Saccharomyces cerevisiae S288C: one gene and its partners. The gene in region 4 interacts genetically with the main gene of each other region. Each region holds a gene or a part of one and is shown on either strand. Other genes may lie near its edges. The genes, in order: RUD3, RAD27, BIG1 and PMR1.

Region 1 (5,896 bases), on a different chromosome or scaffold from region 4:
ATACTCTATCGAATGGTCTCATTTTTGGTAAATTACGTTCATTACAAATTAGAATCAATGGAGTTGACGTCTTACGACAAAACTGTGCCAGCTGGCCAACTCCCCCCCTATCGCCTCCGCTCATACCATCAACTTCATCCATGATAATGACAAAATGTTTCCCGTTCAAATTTTGAGCTTCTTCGTTGTGTTTGAAATATCCCACTACAGACATGTTATCAAGAGCGTTTTTAACACCGGCATTAAGTAAAGTTTTAGAGCGAACATCAGAAGCGTTTTGTTCAAGAATGTCATACCCAAGCTCTTGTGCAACTAAATGAGCAGCAGTTGTCTTCCCAATACCAGGAGGACCGTATAACATTGCAGCCCTGAAAACACCAGAGCCATCTTTACCAGCATGTTTAAAACTATTTTTCTTTGAATTTTCCCAATTAGCCAACCAGTTTTTTAATTTCATTACACTTCCTTTGTTACCACAGACCTGTTGTAGATTCGTTGGTGCGTACTTTACTGTCCACAATTTATCTTCTTCCCTAACCACATTGTCTCTCTCCAGATGGCCACCAGAAACTCTAGTGGCTGCAAGCTTCTTCGACCTTTCCTCTTCTTTCTTAACAAGCAATTCTGCTTCTTTGGTAGCAATATTATGCTGTTCTTCTAATTTTCGACGTGCTTTTTCGGCAGCTTCCCCGTCACCACCTTCAGCAGGCATCCCAGCAATTAATTGCTTAAAGCCTTCTTCGTCTATGGCTTTGATTTTCAATTGCTTGATTTTTTCTAGTTTCTTTGGCCCTGCTTCATCACCTAAGACTACTACAGAAGTTTTGCTTGAAATTGATTTAGTAACCCTTGCTCCGTATCTTTTCGCTAAAGCTTCCGATGCACCACGCTCCAAGGTTGGCAGAACACCTGTGAAGACAATTGTTAGACCTAATAAACAATTTGGCTTTCCTTCTGGAAAACTACCTATTTCAGAAACAATTTCATCTGGATCCGCATTTGAATTTGCGCTTTTGAAATCAAATTTAGCATTCTCTTTCACATGAACATTTGACAGATCCAAGGATGGAATCTTATCTAGTACATCTTGAGCCGTAATATTCGAAGCCGAGTCTGAACTTTTAGAGGAGGGTTTGGTTTTTTTTGAACTTGCTGGCTTTACAGTTGGTGAAGAGGCCTTCCTCTTAGCGGGAAGAGGTAGCTTTTTTTCTCCTTCAGGTGTCTCTGATACATCAATTACATTACTTACAGGCATCTTCTTTGGTGTTTTATTGGTTGATTCTTGGTCAGATTCAGTATCTAAGTCGATAACTTCTGGTTTAGACGAACCCACCTGTCTCGTAGGTCTGGATGTTGACGATCTTACGGATTTCTTATTTTTACCAAAGAAATCAGAAATATTGACCATTTTCTTCAGCTTAGTTTATTATGAAGTGACTTGAAGTTATAAAATTAACTGCGAGATACCCAATTCCTTATTGTGTAAGGATCAAGCAGCGTATTCAACGAAGCCACTGTTTTCGCTGAGAGATCGGCTGTTCCTTCTCATGTTGATTTTTTTTTCAGTACTTCTTTTTGAATTTCGTGCTCATTTCGATACGAAAAATGGAAACAAACAGAAAGACCATTCATGAAGAACAAGAAAATCTTGTATAAACAGCTATATAGTAGATGCTTGTGTATACTTTCCACTTGATCCCCTCAAACAATTGCATTTTTTTTAATTAGAATGGGTAAAAATAAGAAGAAAACAGGTAAGAAGGCCAAGAGTCATCCTCATGTGGAGGACGTTGATGAAACCGTCAATAAACCTGAAGAAATCATCAATTCTGTAAACGTCACCGTTCCTCCAAAAATGTCCACAGATCCAGAGGCTGATGGTATCGTGGCAAGCCCGGACGATGAGGGGAAAGATCTCTCTGAAGGAGTAGACAAACAAAAAGTAAATGACGGCCTGACTGTAGACACCATAAATCCTTTAGAGGACAAAAAGGCTGGTGATGAGATGAAGGAACTAAGGGAAGAAATTGAACGTTTAAAATTGGAACTAAGCCACAAGAAGGATCAAGAAACGCCTAATGAAGACTTCAAAAATGAACTAGCAAATGTTATTAAGGAAAGAGACGAATTCAAAACACAGTATGACACATTATTGAGCAAGATATCTTCTATGAAATCAATTTTTAATAAGATGAAAGAAGCACAAAAACAATTAGAGGAAGTGCAGGAGCAGCTTACTGAATATGAATCACAAAATCTGAAATTGAAGAAGAAACTTGAAGCTACCAAGACCGAAAACTCTGAATTACAATCCACGATTGTGACCCTAAATACAGAGTTAGAAAACCTAGAAAAGGAGCAAGAAAGTACAGAAGAGGTTTTTTTGGAATACGAATCAAGGATAGAAGCTTTGGAAGATGAAAAACACGACATAATTGAAAAACATAGTAAGGAACTTAACACTTACAGGAAGGAAAAAGATCAATTAAATCTCCAAGTTCAGGAACTCATGATAATCTTAGAAAATAATAAACAAGATATATCTGACTTGAGAACAGAAAGAGATGAATTGAGACAGGCTTTGGAATCCCATGAAAAGGAGAAAGCAGTATTAAAGAATTCTCTAAATGATCTGGAATTGAAGATAGAAGAAGTTGACAACAAAAGGGAAGAAGAGGCTAGAGAGAGAGACCAGGAAGTCAAATCTTTACGATCCCAACTTGACACGGAGATAGAAACGCACAACAATGACACAGAAGCTTTAGAAAGCATGAAAAAACAGCTAGAAGCCATGAAGGAGGACGCCTCTATGAAGGAAAAATATGAGGAAGAATCTAAGCAGCACATCTTACAGATCGGAAAACTACGTCACGAAGCCATTATACTAAATGAGCATTTAACAAAGGCACTGGCCATGTTGAAGAAATCAAGCGATTCTGAATCCGTTGATAAAGAACTGATATCCAATCTATTGATATCTTTCGTGTCCATACCCAGAGCAGACCCAAGAAAGTTTGAAGTTCTTGAATTACTGTCCAATTTCTTAAACTGGGATGAAGATAAGAAACAACAGGCCGGCTTGATCTCGAATAATGAGTCTAAGAATTCAAGCGCTGTATCGAGAACGGAAAGCTTTGTATCGCTTTGGACCAACTACCTCGAGAAAGAGAGTGAGAAAGACTAATCGGGCAAACTAAGTCTAGTTCAGAAGAGCATACGTACTTAGTGTAGCATCACCCAATTTATACTCTATAAACGATAAATGATATAAATCACATCTACCCGGCATCTGGGACTTTTCGGGGGGAAGGACTCAAAATTAAAGGGAAGAAAAAGGATCTGCAACATTTTTTACAGAAGTAATGAACTGGAGAAAAAAGACTTTGGGATAAAGTTGGGGAATACAGCAAATAACACTATTCCAAGATGTTCAGACAATCAATTAGGCCACTTGTTTCAAATAGACTAACCTTCATTCGTTATAACAGTTCTCCAGCCTACACGGCTGCAGTCAGCCTATTGAAAGGAGATTTGAAAAAGGCTATGATTGCCAAGGATGAGATGAAGAAGACAGCAATCAGAAATATGTTATCTGCCATAAAAAACAAAGAAATTGCTTTAAAAGGGAAGAGCGCTGATGAGTACTCCCTGTACGACATGTACTCCAAGTTAATATCTCAAAGAAAGGACTCGATCAATGAGTTCCTTGCTAACAAGAGGGACGATCTGGTGGCCAAAGAGCAAGGTGAAATGGACATTATAAAGAAATATATGGACCAATTGCCAGTGTCTTCAGAGCTTGATATTGATCAAAATGTGAAGAAATTACTGGACGCCCTCAAAACAAAGGCAGGTGAAAAAAAAGTTCAAATTAAGGAAATCATGGGAGAAATCGACTGGAAGTCATTGCCAACAGAATGGAAGACATCTCCAACTGCCATCAAAAATAGCATTGTTAAGCAATTCAAGGAAATTTTCAAATGAGGTCCTTGTTTTCTGCGCGATGAATCACAGCCCAACCTTCAATAGTAAAAAAGAAGTAAAAATATTCGTCAAAAATTATGAAAGATACTTTGTTAATACATATCACAGTTACATATTAAAATAAAAAATTAATGCTCGCTTCCTTTCACCTTTTTTTTTTTTTTTGTGGCTACGTTTTTGTGTCCCATGGCAACCATGATATGTCTTGCTAACTGTCATTTGCCCTTTGTTTATAAAAGAGGCCGCTTTTGTATAATGTATAAATTATTCTTTTCCTGAAAGTATTTGTAGTTATCCAAGACAAAAAACCAGCAGCTAACATTGCTACACATAACTAAAGAACAACACCAAGCCAGTAACTAGCACGAAAGGAAGGAAAGTAAAGTTTTGTATCCCATTCTCTTTTTTGATCCTTATTGAAATGTTAGGATTATATCTATCCTCCCTTTTCTTCGCCTTTTTTATGGCACAAGTGTTTGCTACCAAATACTCAATTACTTTTACATCAGATGAGTATGAAGAAGATGAAACAGGACAAAATGAACCTGGTCCTTTAGTTTTCCATTTGGATAAAAACTCATTACCACCAGCTCTGCTAAATCAAATGGAGTTTAATCCATACTTAGTATTAGCAGATTTACCGGAGGAGCCGCGAGCTGTTGATTCTCAAGAACATACCGATACGGTCCTTGCTTCCAAATCTGTTATAGATTTTCTGTTGGAAGATCCTCTAACAATAGTGGAGCACAAAAAGTTTTCTCAAATTGAAAGTATTCTACATGAAATTATGGAAGACAGCATACAGAAGAAAGTCGGGGCAGACGAGGTATTTGAAGAGATTCCGAAACCGAAAATTTACGCGTATGAAGATATTTTAGTAACTAATATGAGCATCATCAATAATAGTGAAATGCCGACAAGTACTGCAACATTAACGAGCACCATTTCTTATTTATCTAGTACGACAAGTTTAGCTTTATCCACGGGTGTTACCAGCGTTGAGATTTTCCCAACAATCACCCCGGGAAATATTACAACTATTGGGGGATACGAAAATTCATCATCCTCCTTAATGCCGTCGATGGGAATCTTATCTTTTCTATTTGGTCTGTACTTGTTACTTCACCCTTAAAGTTCGGCAGTCATATAATCAAAGTTTTGATAGAGAAAGCATTTATATAACATATAAGCAAATGACCAATTAATGGTATTATTTAGTGACGTTTACAGCTGGCGCGGTCGCGTTACACGGGCAAGAAAAAATCAAAGCCACATCAATAAGTCATCACCATTAGAGAGTTGCACGACAACAAACTAGAACAGCCATGTTCGGGTGAAGAGGAAGTGCAGCAACTCAAGTTTTTCTACAGACTAAATTGTTTTTACTCTTGACTCCAAAAGCCCTTTTTTTTTTTTTTGGTGCCATATAATAGACGCTCTTTTATGGATCATTCAATAGAAGTCACTTTCAGAGTAAAAACACAACAGGTTATAATACCGGAACAAAACATCCGGGGAAATGAACTTCCCTTACGTCGGTGGCAGATGGAACTCCTCATGTTAGATGCAACAGGAAAGGAAGTGGAGCCTACCATCCTCTCTAAATGCATCTACCATTTGCACTCTAGCTTCAAACAGCCCAAAAGACGACTGAACTCGCTGCCATTTTTTATCAAGGAAACCGGTTGGGGAGAGTTTAACTTAAAAATAGAATGCTTTTTTATAGGTAACGCTGGAAAGTTTAGCATTGAACATGACTTAACGTTTGAAGATGATGCATATGCAGTTGACTATACCGTTGATGTGCCTCATGAATTCTCACATCTCAATAGTGAACTATCTAAATATTTTGATCTCCCGTGGAAAGTAGTGTCTCCGGAGGAAGAAATGTCTCTTCGTATAGCCGATTTGC
Region 2 (5,474 bases), on a different chromosome or scaffold from region 4:
CTATAAACCAAGTAAGTAGTTTCTATGAAATGGGCAACAGCATCTTGGATGACGAAGGGTAGCATTTAGTTACGTACGTTGAGATAATCTACAAAAATTGATTACGTATTTAAAATTCTTCTCGCTTCTCATTATTCTTTCTTAGTCTTCCTCTTCTTTGTCATTTGTGACAAGATATCATTATCGCTTGGCTCTGCAGTGGCTTTCTTCCTCTTGGTGCCCCCAGCTCGCTTCTTTTGTTTAACCTCAAACTTGTCTAACTGTTCCTTACGCGATTTAGCACCTAATTTCTGCAGCGTATCATTTTTTTCTTTATACTCCTTGTCTTCTAACAATTCGCTCTCACTCTTTGATTCCAACCACTCCATAAGTTTGATTTCATTACCATAGCCTTCATCATTTTCGTATGGAGTTTCCAAGACAATAGGGATACCCTGCAGGTATTCAGAGTGCGCGATCATTCTAAACACATCTATACCCAAATAACCTTGACCCAAGCGTTCATGCAAATCTCTATTTGCTCCTAAAGGAGCCTTGGAATCATTTAAGTGAACAGCACTTAGATATTTGAACCCTATTACATCATTGAACTCTTTCCAAAAATTGTTAAACGTTTCAGTGGTGCTGATATCGTAGCCTGCTGCAAATGTATGGCATGTATCTATGCAAACGCCGATTCTTGATTTATCTTCAATCATTCCAATAACCTCCTTCAAATCTACCAGAGAACTTCCTACTAAATTTCCAGTACCAGCCATATTTTCTAATACAATTTTAACAAATTTCGTTTCCTTAATTGCTTTGTTCAAATATGAGGCTAGTTGTTTTAACTGCAACTGATGGTCTCCTTTCAAAGTAGAACCTGGATGTAAGTTATACAGGCCTATCCCTAATTGCTCACACCTGTTCAGATCGTCCATGAATGACTCATAACTCTTTTCTGCCTTTTCCCTATCCGGATTAGCCAAATTAATAAAGTATTGGCCATGCGGTAAGACGTCCGTCAATGGGTTATAATTGTAAGTTGCACAGTTTTTCTTAAATTTATCTATTTCCTCCTGTGTATACTGCGGAGAAACCCACTTTCTTGGAGATTTTAAAAACATGGCAAACGAATTACAGCCAGTGTTAAATGCATTAGTTACACTATTAGAAATTCCACCGGCACCTGACATGTGCGCACCAAATTTGTATTTCGAGACAGCAGATCTAACAAAGCTAGGTGTCGAAGGCATTACGATGGTTCCGATATGCCAAAAGCTTATTAATGTTGCGTTTTGTGTTTCTTATTCGGAGTTTGTCATCTTATATTTACAATGATTTCCAACATGTAAAGAAATGAAGAAAAAGAAACCAGGTAAGAATGAAAAATTCCACGTTCAAGTTCCCAGAAAAACTGGCAAAAAAAGAGAAGTATTAGATGAAAAAAGTTCGTGTATACAAATATCTATGTTACATATATGCCAAGGTGAAGGACCAAAAGAAGAAAGTGGAAAAAGAACCCCCTCATCTTCTTCCCTTTGTGACTTTATTCTTATTTTTGTTCAATTTTTTATTTTCTTGTGCTCTTTTCGCCGCAGCAGCCAGCTGTTCCTTTGTCTTAGGCACCACTTGGAAGAACCCATCTAACCTACCCTGAATGCCAGATTTCAAGCCTTTTTTCAATCTTGATATACCAGATTTAACTCTTTCTTCACTGAATTTCTTATCATCACATAAATACTCGATAAGTTCCTTCTCCTTTGGTGGCGACCATTTCAAGTTTATTTCGTTACCATCTATAACTTCAGGGTCAAGAAACAGCATTCTTGCTTGTTTGTAAGGCCAGTCTTCTGGGATTTTCCATTTAGTGTTGTTTGACTCCCCAGATTCAATAAACTCCACGATTTTTTCGATGGATCCATGCGTTTTTATCAATTTTAAGGCTGTCACTGGACCAACACCTCTGATGCTTTCACAGTAGTCACAACCAAGCATTATGCAAAGATCAACAAACTGCTCTATTGTCAAGTCGAGTCCTCTCAAAACTAATTCAGTATCTATTTCGTGAATCGGTTCCTTCTTGGCCTCTGAAAAAGTCAAATGTCTCAACAAGAAGGGTGTTCTATAACAGAGTGTGTCCATATCTTCACTTGCTGCGGCATACACCTTTCCCTTCTTTGCCAACTCAGCACATTGAGCCTCAGCTTCCGTTGGCGCTATTATATATGGGATTCCCATTAGTCCTAGTAATTTTTGGGCTTCTTCATTATGCTCTTTTGAGACCTTCACCAATCTTCTTTCTTGCTTCATCTTTTCCAATTCTGTTGTTGCCTCTGCCAGTTTTTTTTCTGTTTCCACCCTTCTTGAAGACCGCTTTGTCAACTCATGAGATTTCAAATCTGGAGGTTTGCCGTCGAAGACATAACAAGGCTTGATACCGTTATCAATCATTCTCAGTGTCCTATAAAACATACCCATCAAGTGTGACGTTGTTTCACCGGCTTCATTGGTCAACTGCCCACCGTCTTGCTGTCTTACAGCAATTAAAAACTGATATAGAGACATAGAGGCATCGATGGCAACCTTTCTGCCAAAAAAGCTCTTGATATCGCTTTTCCTGATAGCAGAGGGAACATGTTCCGATATAATTGCATTCAAACCTTTAATACCCATATTTTTTCTTCCGGTGTCCGTTTCCTATTTCTTTCCAATGTATGCTGTCAACGCTTTTCATCGATGTATATAAGGAAGAATACCTCATTATAATACATCAAAACCTTCATTTGCGCGATGTTACGCGTCGCGTTTCCTATAAAAAATACATAAGCTAGTGAATAAAAGCTTTAAACGCGTTAGGGGGATCTGCAATTAAAGTAAATAAATGAAATAAATGAAATAGATGAAAAACTGGTTACACTAATTATAACGTTAATAAAACTAGTTGATAATCAAAATATTGCCATAGCTAAGCCAATAGTACAGCGTTGGCTTTCTATCATAACTTACCAGCCGGGTGCCCAATCGGGTATCTGTCACCGAAAGTCACTGTTAACGAGGTGTGATTCAGCCGGGTACTAGTCTAGCATTTTTTTTCGCCTGTTTTTTTCGTGAAAAACGAAAAGTGGCAAGCAAACTTATATCACTTTCTACTTCTTTCCCTGTTCTTTTTGTTTATTGGCAATGGCCACTACCACATCCCCATTAACGAAAGTCACCAAAGTGTGTCATTTAATACTACGGTTAGTGACAGCATTTTGTTTAGATCTCAACTAGAGAGGATTATCAACTGCTAAGCCCTTTACACGTTATCTGTGATCCTGCTGCACTAGGAAACGTTTCAAATCACCATATTTGCAATTTCACAAGGATGGACAAATTAGTCGTGAATTATTATGAATACAAGCACCCTATAATTAATAAAGACCTGGCCATTGGAGCCCATGGAGGCAAAAAATTTCCCACCTTGGGTGCTTGGTATGATGTAATTAATGAGTACGAATTTCAGACGCGTTGCCCTATTATTTTAAAGAATTCGCATAGGAACAAACATTTTACATTTGCCTGTCATTTGAAAAACTGTCCATTTAAAGTCTTGCTAAGCTATGCTGGCAATGCTGCATCCTCAGAAACCTCATCTCCTTCTGCAAATAATAATACCAACCCTCCGGGTACTCCTGATCATATTCATCATCATAGCAACAACATGAACAACGAGGACAATGATAATAACAATGGCAGTAATAATAAGGTTAGCAATGACAGTAAACTTGACTTCGTTACTGATGATCTTGAATACCATCTGGCGAACACTCATCCGGACGACACCAATGACAAAGTGGAGTCGAGAAGCAATGAGGTGAATGGGAACAATGACGATGATGCTGATGCCAACAACATTTTTAAACAGCAAGGTGTTACTATCAAGAACGACACTGAAGATGATTCGATAAATAAGGCCTCTATTGACCGGGGATTGGACGACGAGAGCGGTCCTACTCATGGTAATGACAGCGGTAACCACCGTCACAACGAGGAGGATGACGTCCATACCCAAATGACGAAAAACTATTCTGACGTAGTGAACGATGAAGACATCAACGTTGCCATTGCCAATGCCGTCGCAAATGTAGATTCTCAATCAAACAATAAGCACGATGGAAAAGACGATGATGCCACTAACAACAATGATGGCCAAGATAATAATACTAATAACGATCACAACAATAACAGCAATATCAATAACAACAATGTCGGTAGCCACGGCATTTCCTCCCACTCACCATCCTCCATACGAGACACGTCTATGAATTTAGACGTCTTCAATTCTGCTACCGATGATATACCGGGCCCATTTGTCGTTACCAAAATTGAGCCCTATCATAGTCACCCACTAGAAGATAACTTGTCACTGGGTAAATTTATCCTAACTAAGATTCCAAAGATTTTACAAAACGATTTAAAGTTTGATCAAATACTAGAAAGCTCTTACAATAATTCTAACCATACAGTGAGTAAATTTAAAGTTTCTCATTACGTGGAGGAGTCCGGTCTTTTAGACATTTTAATGCAAAGATATGGATTAACCGCCGAAGATTTCGAAAAAAGGTTACTTTCCCAAATAGCCAGACGTATAACGACGTATAAAGCAAGATTTGTTTTGAAAAAGAAAAAAATGGGCGAGTATAATGATTTACAACCTTCTTCATCTTCCAATAACAACAATAACAACGATGGTGAGCTTTCTGGCACGAACTTGAGAAGTAACTCTATCGACTACGCCAAACATCAGGAAATATCAAGTGCGGGTACCTCATCGAACACAACCAAAAATGTGAATAATAACAAGAATGACAGTAATGACGATAATAACGGCAACAATAATAATGACGCCTCAAATTTAATGGAAAGTGTGCTAGATAAAACCTCTAGTCACCGGTATCAACCCAAGAAGATGCCAAGCGTCAATAAATGGAGCAAGCCAGATCAAATAACTCATTCAGACGTGTCCATGGTTGGCCTAGATGAATCAAACGATGGCGGTAATGAAAATGTCCACCCAACCTTGGCTGAAGTAGACGCTCAAGAAGCTCGTGAAACTGCTCAGTTAGCCATAGACAAGATCAATTCTTATAAGAGGTCCATTGATGACAAGAATGGTGATGGCCATAACAATTCGTCGAGAAACGTGGTAGATGAAAACTTGATCAACGATATGGATTCAGAAGATGCTCACAAGTCCAAAAGACAGCATTTGTCAGATATCACACTGGAAGAGAGAAATGAAGACGACAAACTACCACATGAAGTGGCGGAACAGTTAAGGTTACTGTCATCGCATTTGAAAGAGGTAGAGAATCTACACCAGAATAATGATGATGACGTAGACGATGTAATGGTGGACGTGGATGTAGAATCGCAGTATAATAAGAACACAACTCATCATAATAACCATCATAGCCAACCTCATCACGATGAAGAAGATGTTGCTGGAC
Region 3 (5,788 bases), on a different chromosome or scaffold from region 4:
TCCAAGATTTTATGGCAGATAAACTAAACGCAGCGCATGATGATGCTCTGCCTGCGCCAGATATGACCATATTGAAAGTTGAAATTTTCAATTCAATTCAAACAATGTTTGTACCATCAAATGTTTTAAAAGACCATTTTACCTCGTTGTTTACTCAATTTGAAGATTTCTGGTTATTCCGTAAACAATTTGCGTCACAATACAGTTCGTTTGTCTTCATGTCTTACATGATGATGATCAATAACCGTACTCCTCACAAAATCCATGTTGACAAAACCTCTGGTAATGTATTTACTTTAGAAATGTTACCCTCAAGATTTCCATATGAAAGGGTGAAACCATTGCTAAAGAATCATGACTTAAGTCTTCCACCAGATTCTCCGATATTTCATAATAATGAACCAGTTCCATTCAGACTGACGCCTAATATTCAATCTTTGATAGGTGATTCTGCTTTAGAAGGTATATTTGCGGTAAATTTATTTACCATATCACGTGCATTAATTGAACCTGATAATGAACTGAACACATACTTGGCCCTATTCATCCGTGACGAGATCATATCATGGTTTAGCAACCTTCACCGGCCAATCATTGAAAATCCACAGTTACGTGAGATGGTTCAAACCAACGTTGACCTAATTATTAGAAAGGTGGCACAATTGGGCCATTTGAATTCAACACCTACAGTCACAACCCAGTTCATCCTAGACTGTATTGGCAGCGCTGTCAGTCCAAGAAACTTAGCAAGAACAGACGTGAACTTCATGCCATGGTTCTAGAGCTGATACATGGGTTAGTTTCCGGCCTTTTCTCTGTATTTAATGAAGGTAGAGAAAGCCTCAAAAAATATGTACTATATAAAAAATTAAAATGTTTTACTTTTTATTAAAGTTGCCTAATCAAAATCCCAAAAAGTTGTATAATTTTTTTTCGAACTTGGAGAGAGGATTTGCCGAAACTTTAACACCATCTCGAATCCACACCCCGTATGAACCCATTAGGTTTGCCATCAAGATGTCAGTAAAAAGCCTATCTCCAACAACAGCAACCTCTTTTGGATTTGTTATGGTTTTGTTTCTATAAAAATAATCTAATATTTCGTTGTGACAACCTGGTTTCTTTGTAGAGTGCCGCAAAACAGGTATACCTGTCTTATCTTCCAAAAGTTTTGCTTGCGAATAGTCCTTATCAGAATTGGAACCGGCGGTATTGCTAACAATCAAGAGTGCTTTGTTAGAGTATTTCGACCTTAAGGTTTCCCAGTGTTGCAAGTAATCTGGCCATATTTTGTCATCATGAGGGAAGGCGATGCAGTTGTCCTTATCCAAGACCACGGCCTTTATAGAATCGTGGATTGGTATAGGAAGATCGTTAAAAGTGGGGACAACTAGACTAGGCTTACACAGTGATGGGTTATAAAGCAACCGGAGCGTATTTAAGGTGCCACTGATGTTCATGACTAGGTAGAGGAGACGATGTAATGTAACTGCCGCCTTTCAGTTTGGCCCCATATATATATATATATAAACAGACGGATAATTATATCATATTAAATGCGATAGCATAAATTTCTCGATGCGCATTGGTAAATTGTAGCATGGCGCGAAGTCTCTCATGGATAATTTTGCAAAGAATCGATGTATATAACGAACCATAATCAAGATACTTGCTGGGATGGCTTTTTCTGGATCTCTTGCACTTTTTTGAGCAGTTGTGGTGACGTCTGTTTCACGTTGTCCTTTTTATTAGTAATCTTCTCATCTACAATAGTTTTTTTTGTGAAAAAAAACTGAATAAGAATATACCCAACCAAAATTGTGAAAATCAGCTGTAATAAACCTCTGTTATTCTCAATTAATTGTGAATCAAATATTGAGACATACTCCGAAGGTGGCTCTGAAAATCGTGGAGTATAGTCATTAAACGACAGACGAGGCACATCCAAAACTCTATTATTTTGTTCCACTTCACCCACTCTGGATTTTATGTCAAAGATATCTGGAAATATTTGGATAGGGATGATCGACTCGTGAGCCAGCGTAGTTCCTGGGTTTAACGAGGTGTAAATGACATTTTGTTCTGGCGACGGAATCTGCGCCAGTATAGTCCTCAAATACTTGTCATAATGGCGGAATGCTTCTTTACGTTCATTAGTGTCCTCTGGTAACTTAGGGTACTCTATTATAATCACTCTTTTTTCGCTATCAATAAAGGGCTGGAAATCTTCTGTATTATTACCTCGTAAGTTCAACACCTGGTCTACGTTACAATACTCCTTTACAAACTCTGCAAGATCATAGTATAAATCTTGAGGCAATAGGTCTACCTTTTCGAACTTAATCGCGGTTGAACTCCGTCTTATATATCTCTGTAACGAAACAAACTCTGTTTCAAATTCCAAGAAGTCCAATTTCCTCAGGCCTGGTTGATTAATAAACACATAAGTGTCAGCATTACATACACCTAAGAATTTCTCAGCCGCTTCAATAAAGGTGTCTCTTGGTAAAGTCACAGCCCTATCATAATCCTCTTGATACTTTAAAATACCGGGAGTTCTATCCAAAAGTACAAATATGTGTATAACATCTAGTTAGTAAGAAAAATGAAAGTTACTAAAGATTAATGTTTCTTGTTCTACATACAGTTTGTAAGAGAAGAATATTGCAGGAACATTGGTCTGGTTTTGCAATTCCTCCGAAGCACAAAAGCTTCCACACATAATAAGCAACAAATATTTCAACACAGTTTGCATCTTGCCTTGCTACTCCTAATTAGTATGCGCCTACGTTTCCTAACTACAAAACAGATAGGTATAACCTGCAACTTAACCTCCGCTGCTGATATTCTTGGCCGTAGTTAAGAGAGGTTTACATTACTACAGAGCTAACCCGTGTTGCATGATATCATCGATATAATTAAAGAATGCACATATGTCAGCGGTACTATCGCATACAATGCTCTATCAGAACTCTAGATAACGTTAGAACATATCCTCCCAGGTTTCGCCACATCTGTGGCCTCGTTACTCTATTCGTTTCACTCTTTCTTATCTATTTACAGCCCATCGAGCAACATTATCATGCCACACGTCGATCTCAGGCCGATCTGACAATCTTTAAAGGCATCAACAAGAGCAGCAGCTTGCCGACGTGGCAAAAGTCAAAGAAGAACAGAGGCAACTCGTCCTACGTGAAGCCACATACAACAAGTTAGGAACTATTAGGCGGAACCGCTTTCTAAGGAGCTTACTACTTTTAACAGTACTACTTTTAACAGTACACAGATAAAGAAACAAAAAGTATAAATTTGGGCGCCATCGACTGGCAAGCAAAACACGTATAGAGAACAGGCAGTAATGACGACGAAGCCACAAAATAGTAAGCAGGGTTTAGCCGAAGGAGAGATGGATGTGAGTTCACTTTTCAAGAGAACGGAAGTTATTGGGCGAGGGAAATTTGGTGTGGTTTATAAGGGCTATAACGTGAAGACTGGACGAGTGTATGCTATCAAAGTCTTAAATTTAGATTCTGATTCTGACGAGGTGGAGGATGTGCAGCGAGAAATTCAGTTTTTGGCCTCCTTGAAACAGATTTCCAATATCACGCGGTATTATGGGTCGTATTTGAAAGACACAAGCCTTTGGATCATAATGGAACACTGCGCTGGTGGTTCACTGCGTTCGTTGTTAAGGCCAGGCAAAATCGATGAAAAGTACATTGGGGTTATTATGAGAGAACTGCTTGTAGCATTAAAATGCATTCATAAAGATAACGTCATTCATCGAGATATCAAAGCAGCAAACGTTCTGATCACTAACGAAGGTAATGTTAAACTATGCGATTTTGGTGTCGCTGCACAAGTAAACCAAACTTCTTTACGACGTCAAACTATGGCTGGGACCCCCTACTGGATGGCTCCAGAAGTGATCATGGAAGGCGTTTATTACGACACTAAAGTAGATATATGGTCTTTAGGTATTACAACGTACGAGATTGCCACCGGAAATCCGCCATACTGCGATGTGGAGGCCCTAAGGGCAATGCAACTAATCATCAAATCGAAACCACCGAGGCTTGAGGACAGATCATACAGTACATCTTTGAAAGAATTTATTGCGCTTTGTCTTGATGAGGATCCAAAGGAGAGATTGTCAGCAGACGATCTTTTAAAATCAAAATTTATCAGGGCCCACAAGGCGACGCCAACGTCCATTTTGAAAGAACTAATATCACGATATCTACTATTTAGGGACAAGAATAAAAACAAATATAAAATAGAGGGCAGTATACCGGAAAATGAGCCATCAAAACCCAGTGAAGCTCCAAAACCATCACAAAATGGCGGGGGTGATGAAGCACAAAAGTCAATAGCATCAAATGATAATGAAATTAAGAGAGTGAACGAAGGCGATGTGGAAATGAAATGGGATTTTGATTCATTGAGTTCGTCGGATTATATTATTGAAAATAATATCAACCTCGATGCTTTGGCTGAGGACAACAACGAGTGGGCTACTGCCCAACATGACCTGTTCAACTATGCATACCCTGACGAAGATTCTTATTACTTTGACCCTACAAGTCATAATACTAGACCCTTTGTTTATCAAGGGACAACGATAGGAAAGGGCTATCCTGGTACAATAGCTCAAAATTCTACTTTGAATGCACCAGTAACAAATAACTATACGAACTCAAAATACCCTTCCAAAATGGTAGCTGGAACTACAAACACCTCTGGAACACATACGGCCGGTCCAATGACATCATCTAAGAGGCTGGAAAGTAAGGCTCCAAAACAATTACTTGAACTTTTTGAAGACAATGAAATTATTACTGCTGAAAATGATGTCAATACAGAAGCTCCTAAAATAAGCAAATCCATTTCATCTCTAAATGCTGGTAATAGTTCACGAGATGATTTCATTCCCTCAATATCCAACGAGGTCAACGGAAATATCAATAATAATAAAATGCGACCACACCTTCCACCTTTATCCAGTGGGAACAATTATTATAGCCAGAGTACACCTGCTTTGCCGCTACTCCAAACAAAATTTAACAAGACGTCAAAGGGCCCTCCAACAAGTGGATTAACTACTGCTCCAACGTCTATTGAAATAGAAATTCCTGAAGAACTACCGAATAGTGCTCTACCAACGCCTGCGAGCGCAGATCCGGTTTTAATACCAAGCACAAAGGCCAGGTCATCTACAGTGACGGCTGGCACTCCTTCGTCATCTAGCTCAATACAATATAAATCACCTTCAAACGTGCCCAGGCGGTTGACAGTCAGTAACAATAGGCCAGAACATTGCCCAAGCACCATAACAAATCAAAAATTGGGGTCCGCAGTTGCTTCTAATTCCGGAATCAGCTCCACTCCGAACAACAGTAATAACTATAACAACAACACTGATAGTGAGAACTCAAGAGGAAGCAGCGGTAGTAACACTGCAAATAGCACACAAATGGGCATAACCAATCCAGGTAATGTAACAAAGTTATCTACTCATAAGGCTTCTTCACCCTCAAGGCCACTATTTGGAGTTGGAACTTCTCCCAATAGAAAGCCTGCCGGTTCCCCAACCCAAAACATTGGTCATAATTCTACTCACACGAACCTCGCGCCTCCTCCTACGATGAAACCAATGGCCAATAGCAAAGATAACAAGGACATTCTCTTGCAACCTCTGAACAGCATACCTAGTTCTTCTACACTTAACACTATTAGTGGTAATAGCAGCAATAATTTAACCTCATCAAACTACTTTTCCAACGAAAAG
Region 4 (7,482 bases):
AAGCTGATAATATTTGAAGCGAGAGCTTTATTCTTCTCCTCAAATTTTTTTTTTCTTCTGCGCTGTTAACTTACCACTAAACCTGTTTCCATTTTTAATGGTAGTCCTGTTTATTATTCCATTTTTAGAATTGTATGTACCTTGGACGACATTTTTTGGCAATGACATCGAAAGCACTGTTTGATACCAAGATCTTAAAAGTTAACCCGCTATCAATCATTTTCTCCCCTGATGCGCATATAGATGGTTCCTTACCAACGATAACAGATCCTGAAACGGAAGCAGCGCTAGTTGAAGCGGCGAGGATAATAAGAGATACAGATGAGACTGTGGCTTTTCCAACCGAAACTGTTTATGGTCTTGGAGGTTCTGCTTTAAATGATAATTCAGTGCTTAGTATATACAGGGCCAAAAATAGGCCTAGTGACAATCCTTTGATTACACATGTTTCATCCATTGATCAACTTAACAGAAAGGTCTTTAATCAACCGCATCTATCAGGTACATCCTTGTTTGATAACATACCCTCAATCTATCGCCCATTAATTTCAAGCCTTTGGCCTGGCCCATTAACAATTCTTTTGCCAGTTCCATCTTCAGAGCATAGTGCATTATCAAAGTTAACGACCGCAGATCAGCCTACGTTTGCGGTACGCATACCCGCTAATCCAGTGGCTAGAGCACTGATTGCCCTGAGCGATACACCAATAGCTGCTCCTTCAGCGAATGCGTCTACTAGGCCATCTCCTACTTTAGCGTCTCATGTTTATCATGATCTAAAGGATAAAATTCCCATAATTCTTGATGGCGGAGCGTGCAAGGTTGGTGTAGAAAGTACTGTTGTTGATGGGTTATGTAATCCTCCTACGCTACTGCGACCTGGCGGTTTTACATATGAAGAAATTGTTAAATTGGGTGGTGAAGCTTGGTCTCTTTGTAAAGTTGAGAATAAGAAAACAGTTGAAAAGGGCGAAAAGGTAAGAACGCCTGGTATGAAGTATAGACACTATTCCCCTTCAGCTAAAGTTGTTTTACTAGTTCCTCATTGCGAAGGCGATGGCATTCTTAAGGGCGTTGATAGGATGGAAAGATTAAAGAGGTTAATCGAAACGGAATTAAAAGCCAACAGTAATATAAAAAAAATTGCGATTTTAACTTCCCTAAAATTACGTGATTCCGACTTACAATCTAAGATCTTTAATGAACCCGATTTTTCTTCGAAAACTTTCATCATCGAAAGACTTGGCCAATCTGGTGAAGAAATACAGACTAACTTGTTTGCAGCTTTAAGAAAAGTGGATGAAAATGATAAAGTAGACCTAATATTTGTCGAAGGTATAAATGAGGAAGGAGAAGGATTAGCTGTTATGAACAGATTGCGAAAGGCGGCTGCAAATAATTGTATACAGTTTTAAATAAAACTGTGATTAACTTTTGAAAATCATAACCACTGATTACGGAGATTTTATATCTAGTCCGGAAAAAGAAGGAAAGAATAAAATTTTATATTGCTTTGTATATACGAAAAGTCGCCCATACATGTTTATCTTAGTATCCGTTGTAAATATATGTACATATATACATCTACATATGTTCCCATTAATTAGTACATTTACCTCAATAGGGTTGGGCGTCCTCATGAAAGATAAAGGGAAGGAAGGAAAAACGATAAAAGCACAAAATGTGACATATCAAACATTTGAGAAATACGTTGAGTCTTCTTCATTCTTTTTCCTCGTCCACAATTTTCTCAATTCATCAACGATGAAAACGCTACTGCTGATGAGCAATAACAATAGTATATCAGAGATACCAAGTTTCTCAGTTTTAAAGATACTTTGGAAAAATGGTATATATATAGCGCACATTTGACCTAACAGAGACAGTCCAACGGCGTAGTTGAACATTTTGTTCGTGAAAAAGCCGATTTCGAAGATTGACTTTGTGTTATGTCTGCAGGCCAAAGCATTAAACATATCAAAAAAAACAAAACAAGTAAATGTCATAGTAGTATCTCTAGCAGTTACTTTACCATCTTCGGCCATCTCTTTAACAAAAATGTAAACTGTCCCAACGATGATACAGGCCGCGGTGGTTAGTAAACGTTTCATTACATCATGGGTCAAAATTTTATCGGTACGTTTTCTTGGAGGTTTTTTCATAACTTCATGATCAACAGGTTCCACACCTAAGGATTGAGCTGGTGGCCCATCCATTAAAATATTTATCCAAAGAATTTGCATTGCGTTCAGTGGATTGGGTAGTTTAAACGCTGTAGATAGTGCAACTAATGATAGTGCGGCAACAGAAGTAGACAATTGAAAAGTCAGGAAATTCTGAATATTATTAAAGATACCTTTACCCTCTTCAATGGCAGTTAAAATAGTACTGAAGTCATCATCAGTTAAGACCATATCTGAGGCTTCTTTGGCTACATCTGTACCAATTCTACCCATAGAAACACCAATATCTGAAAGTTTCAACGCAGGAGCGTCGTTAACACCATCACCAGTCATTGCTACCACATCACCCCTCTTTCTTAATGCACGAACAATGTTTAACTTATGCTCAGGCGTAGCACGAGCAAAAATATTAACGTGGTCGATGACATTGGCCAGTTGATCATCTGACATTTCATCTAATTTATCACCGGATAAAACGGAAAGCTTTGGATCAATAACTGGAATACCAATTTGTTTTGCAATGTTTACTGCGGTATTCTCAGAATCACCAGTGATCATAATAATATGGACACCACCTTGTAGTAATTGTTCGATGGCAAATTTAACGTTCGGTCTTGGTGGGTCATTCATACCGATTAAACCAGTAAAGGTTAAATCTTTGATTAGGTCTTCGGTTAGAGGAGTTGATGAATCAGACAAAGTTAGTTTAGCAAATCCAAAGACACGCAAACCTTCAGATGCCATAGAATTTGCGCACTCATTTATCGTAGCTTTTTGGGCTTCAGTCAACTTTTCAGTTTTTTTACCCTTTGATTTCAAATAACTTGTGGAGTACTCAAGAATTCTTTCAAATGCACCTTTAACATAAACTGTACACTTATTGTCGACAGGGTTGAGAATCTTGGTTGCCATTAATTTTCTTTTCGAGTTAAATGGAAGTTCCTGAACTTTTTGAACGGTGTTTCTGATATCAGGCATTTCAAAGTTTGCCAATTGCTCTAAAAGAGCTACATCAGTAGGATTTCCCAGAAATATGGCATGTTCTTGAGAGAAAGATGCATTATTACAGAGATTACCGATAGTTAGAGTTTCCCTAACGTCTTCAGTCAAATAGTTTTTCAAATTTCCATTAGAATTTTTAGTCTTCTTATTTTTGTCTAATGAGAGGACGTTTAGCTTATTGGACATACTGTCCAAGCACCAAAGTTTAGATACGGTCATGTGGTTTGAGGTTAGTGTACCTGTTTTGTCGGAGCAGATAACGTTGACAGAGCCTAAAGTTTCGACACTTGGTAACCTTCTCACGATGGCTTTACGCTTGGCCATTCTCAGAACACCCAATGCCAAAGTAACAGTGACAATAATTGGTAACCCTTCTGGAATAGCAGCAACCGCTAAGGATACCGATATTTGGAACATTTCTAACCAAGATCTACCTTGTATGATACCAACTAAACAAATCATACCAATAACTATGAAGCTAACCAGTGACAAGTCCTTTCCCAATTTGTCCATTGTTAACTGCAATGGAGTCTTCGGTTTTTCAATATTATTCATCATTTCAAAAACGGCACCAAAGGATGTGTTTGTACCTGTTCCTACGACGATACCCTTACCATGACCTTCCTTGACTAATGTACCCATATAAGCTATACAAGATCTCTCAGAAATCGGTACAATTGAATTAGGCTGATCGTTAAAGGAAGATTTTTCGATCGTTTGTGAGGTTTTATGTACCGGTTCATTTTCACCAGTTAAATTACTTTCATCGATGGATAAATCGATTGCTTCAATAATTCTAATGTCTGCGGGGATTCTGTCACCTATTCTGAAGTGCACTAAATCACCAGGAACCAAGGTGGAAGCCAGTACATGACTCTCTTGACCACATCTCATTAAGTGACATTCAGCAGGAACCAATTTATTCAACGCTTCTAGAGATTTTTCAGACCTATATTCTTGGACAAAACCGACAGTGACAACTATGAAAATGGCCAGTGTGATACTAACAGCATCATCAATGTTACCCATAAAAAGAGAGACCACTGCGGATCCTATTAAAAGTAGAATCATTCGATCCTCAATGAAATTTGACAAGAACTTCTTGAAAAGACTTTCATCATCTTCTACGGTTATTTCATTGGGGCCATAAAGTGATCTCCTATTGTTGGCCTCGTTAGATGATCGTAAACCACCGTTTTTGTCAGTGTCCAGTTTTTCTAGAGCTTCGTCCACGGATAAAGTACAATACTCTAAAGAAGGGCTTGGTTTCGAAAGGGCCTCTGCTGTGGCATCTAGTATTTCTCTCTCACGGTTTGAGTCCTCGTCAAGAAGACTCGCATTAAATGGATTGTCACTCATAATTATCTTATCTTTTACTTACACTTAAGCTTACGTCTGTGCTGGCCTTGCTTCGTCTTGTCTTGCCCAGTCGTAAGGATATTATTATAGTTACTAGTATTGTTATAAATGGGAATGGAAAGAACGGGGCGAGCAAACACTATTATGATGGTGTAGAAAAAGAGGTTTTTCTATTAAGTGCTTGAAGGAAGGGCTATAGTGTACGATGGCCTAGGGAACAAGATCTCGATATAACGATAGGTAGGGTCCACACTGTTAACAAAAAAAGTACTTCTTTAAATAGAGAATCTTGTCTTGATGTAACAAAATGAAAAAAAAAAAAAATGCAACTAGAATGTAGAATACAAAAGTTTAACGATCGGCTTTGCTGTTAAGTGGTTATCTAGGGATGAGCTGAACGTGCAATTGATACCAACCGATCCTTGCTAGGAACGCAACTCTTTTCACCCACCTTCCACCACTACGATCGTGAAAGAATATTTGCTAAGAAAATCGCCAAAACGAGGCGAAGTCGCCAGGGTGCGCGGGCACGCAGGGTAAGAGCCGCAAGGCCTGGTTCGGTAAGTATTAAGCTGTGGACGAAATAGCAGTAGCCATGGCGATGTAATTTATTAGACGGCGGCTTGATAAAAGAGGACTGATAATCAGTGTATTCACAGAATGGTCGTAATTAACGGGGTCAAATATGCCTGTGAAACGTGTATCAGGGGTCACAGGGCGGCGCAGTGTACTCACACTGATGGTCCGCTACAGATGATCAGACGCAAGGGAAGACCATCGACCACATGTGGCCATTGTAAAGAGCTGAGAAGAACCAAGAACTTCAACCCATCCGGTGGGTGCATGTGTGCCTCTGCACGACGGCCAGCTGTTGGCAGCAAGGAAGATGAAACACGATGTCGTTGTGATGAGGGTGAACCTTGTAAATGTCATACCAAGAGGAAAAGCAGCCGGAAATCAAAGGGAGGGTCATGCCACAGAAGGGCAAATGATGAAGCAGCGCATGTCAATGGTCTCGGTATTGCAGATCTGGACGTTCTTTTGGGCCTAAATGGTCGCTCGTCGGATGTAGACATGACAACCACATTGCCGAGTTTGAAGCCACCTCTGCAAAACGGAGAAATTAAGGCCGACAGCATTGACAATCTTGATTTGGCTTCCCTCGATCCGCTTGAGCAAAGCCCTAGTATATCTATGGAACCTGTTAGTATCAATGAAACAGGAAGCGCATATACAACTACGAACACAGCACTAAACGATATTGACATTCCATTCTCCATCAATGAGTTGAACGAGCTATACAAACAAGTATCTTCGCATAACTCACATTCACAATAATGCATCTGGACATCTATATAAATATACATATACATATATTGGCGGTTGTTTGTTCTCCCGGCAAGCTGGCAGTCGGGCCGAGATTCGGATAAATTTTTCCATTCGTATACATATACATAGATATATACAATTATAAAATTTGTCCAAGGCTGCACAGGATACGTAACCATCCTAAAGTTTTAGGTTTTTTAACTTTTTTTCTGTCTCTTCAATTGTCGAATTGCTTATTCTATCCTTTCTGGAGTTCGTATTTTCATCGTTCAAATATATAGATAACCTTTCATCACTCACTTCCAATATACTTTTCTGATCGTTACTTTGTAAGGACGTCAGCCGAATGATGTACTCCAGTAGTGTGATCGACGAATCCTTGTCCTCCAATTTATTTTCTTCTTCTTCTTCTTCCTTTCGTTCTTCTCCGTCTTTTCCTTCCTCTTCGTCCTCCTCTTCATCTTCCTCTTCATCTTCCTCTATCGCTTCATATCCGCTTACCGCATACCAAGTAATGTCATCGAGTAATCCCTTGTCTCCTTCACTGCTCTCATTTTCTTTGTCATCGCTCCGGTCAATCTTCAATACCAACACTGGAGAATCCTGTTCTTCTAATCGGAGAAGCTTACCGGAAACACTGAAAAACAGCTTCTTAATATGGTTCAGATCTATGGCAAGTTCCTGTGGTGTGTCTTCTTTGTCATCATCCTCATGATATCTACCGTCATTGAAGTCTTGTTCTATTTTCATAAAATAATCATACTTTCTGCCTGTAGAGTTCAATCTATATATCCTTGCTTTTGCACGTTTCATATCCTCTTTCCAAACAATTCCTGATTGCCCATTGTTTTCTGAAGTTAGGTTATAGAAAATAGAGAATAGTGTAACCTCAAATGTAGGCCCCACTTGAACTTTTAGAATCTCCTTGTCACCTGTTCCTTTCTCATTACTCTTCATTGCCTTTTCATACTTTCTATTGTTCTCGCTAACGAAATCGGAGGCTTTTAATAATAAACCAGGAGAAAGTTGATATGGGAGTGCGCTGTTCAAGTTGGCACCAGAAGTGGTTAAAGAAAGATTAATGAATGGAGTGATTTCTTCGATCCTCAATAGCAAGTCCTTTATATAGTTTTCTACCGCTTTAATAGCTTCATTCTGTGTTTTTGCGCTCCTGGAACCCTCAACTTTCTGCGTCATTTCGTTGATCTTCTCATCAAACCTATCAATCTCTTCTTTTAAATCCTTGGTTAACCTCAGAGTGATTTGCAAATTCGTGTTTCCCCTCGCCGCTACCAGCTTTATTAGGTCAATTGCACTGGATACAATAGCCATGCGGCTTTCCAGTTTAAATTTCAGTTGATCTATTCTTCTAGCATCATCCTTAGGAATCTGGACGACAAAGTTCGTTATTGTCTTTAGCGCATATGTGGATGCTATCGATATTCCGGATTTTATAGCAAATGTAACGGCTTGTGAACCTGCTTTGGCAAGAATTTCATCCATTCTCTTCAGATATTGGTGTTAGGTAATAGTTAAAGTTAATCCTTCTGAGAGTGTGAAACTGTATCAGATTTTTATTTCCCTGACAGCGTGAGATTTTCTTGCCATA

What was found.
Region 1: mutations in PMR1 (region 4) and RUD3 together harm fitness more than expected from each alone (negative genetic interaction), as found in Saccharomyces cerevisiae (7 studies listed by BioGRID, with this or other methods).
Region 2: mutations in PMR1 (region 4) and RAD27 together harm fitness more than expected from each alone (negative genetic interaction), as found in Saccharomyces cerevisiae (6 studies listed by BioGRID, with this or other methods).
Region 3: mutations in PMR1 (region 4) and BIG1 together harm fitness more than expected from each alone (negative genetic interaction), as found in Saccharomyces cerevisiae (4 studies listed by BioGRID).

What each region holds. Positions count from the first base shown.
Region 1 is NC_001147.6:744,813-750,708, reverse strand, and holds RUD3 (Rud3p), read left to right. Parts: upstream 1-1,729; coding exon 1,730-3,184; downstream 3,185-5,896. Other genes in the region: RFC1 (replication factor C subunit 1), read right to left, coding at 1-1,408; AIM41 (Aim41p), read left to right, coding at 3,427-3,984; SPR2 (Spr2p), read left to right, coding at 4,406-5,116; SAS5 (Sas5p), read left to right, coding at 5,428-5,896. UniProt on the Saccharomyces cerevisiae protein: Involved in the structural organization of the cis-Golgi and in vesicle targeting/fusion stages of ER to Golgi transport.
Region 2 is NC_001143.9:223,221-228,694, forward strand, and holds RAD27 (multifunctional nuclease RAD27), read right to left. Parts: upstream 2,656-5,474; coding exon 1,507-2,655; downstream 1-1,506. Other genes in the region: DNA-(apurinic or apyrimidinic site) lyase APN1, read right to left, coding at 132-1,235; DNA-binding protein ABF1, read left to right, coding at 3,350-5,474. UniProt on the Saccharomyces cerevisiae protein: Structure-specific nuclease with 5'-flap endonuclease and 5'-3' exonuclease activities involved in DNA replication and repair.
Region 3 is NC_001140.6:313,214-319,001, forward strand, and holds BIG1 (Big1p), read right to left. Parts: upstream 2,756-5,788; coding exon 2,646-2,755; intron 2,559-2,645; coding exon 1,661-2,558; downstream 1-1,660. Other genes in the region: histone acetyltransferase TRA1, read left to right, coding at 1-782; GEP4 (phosphatidylglycerophosphatase), read right to left, coding at 903-1,460; putative serine/threonine protein kinase KIC1, read left to right, coding at 3,359-5,788. UniProt on the Saccharomyces cerevisiae protein: Required for normal beta-1,6-glucan synthesis.
Region 4 is NC_001139.9:185,925-193,406, forward strand, and holds PMR1 (Ca(2+)/Mn(2+)-transporting P-type ATPase PMR1), read right to left. Parts: upstream 4,545-7,482; coding exon 1,692-4,544; downstream 1-1,691. Other genes in the region: SUA5 (threonylcarbamoyladenylate synthase), read left to right, coding at 135-1,415; HUR1 (Hur1p), read left to right, coding at 1,540-1,872; CUP2 (Cup2p), read left to right, coding at 5,205-5,882; YRB30 (Yrb30p), read right to left, coding at 6,054-7,376. UniProt on the Saccharomyces cerevisiae protein: This magnesium-dependent enzyme catalyzes the hydrolysis of ATP coupled with the transport of calcium. Has a role in the secretory pathway.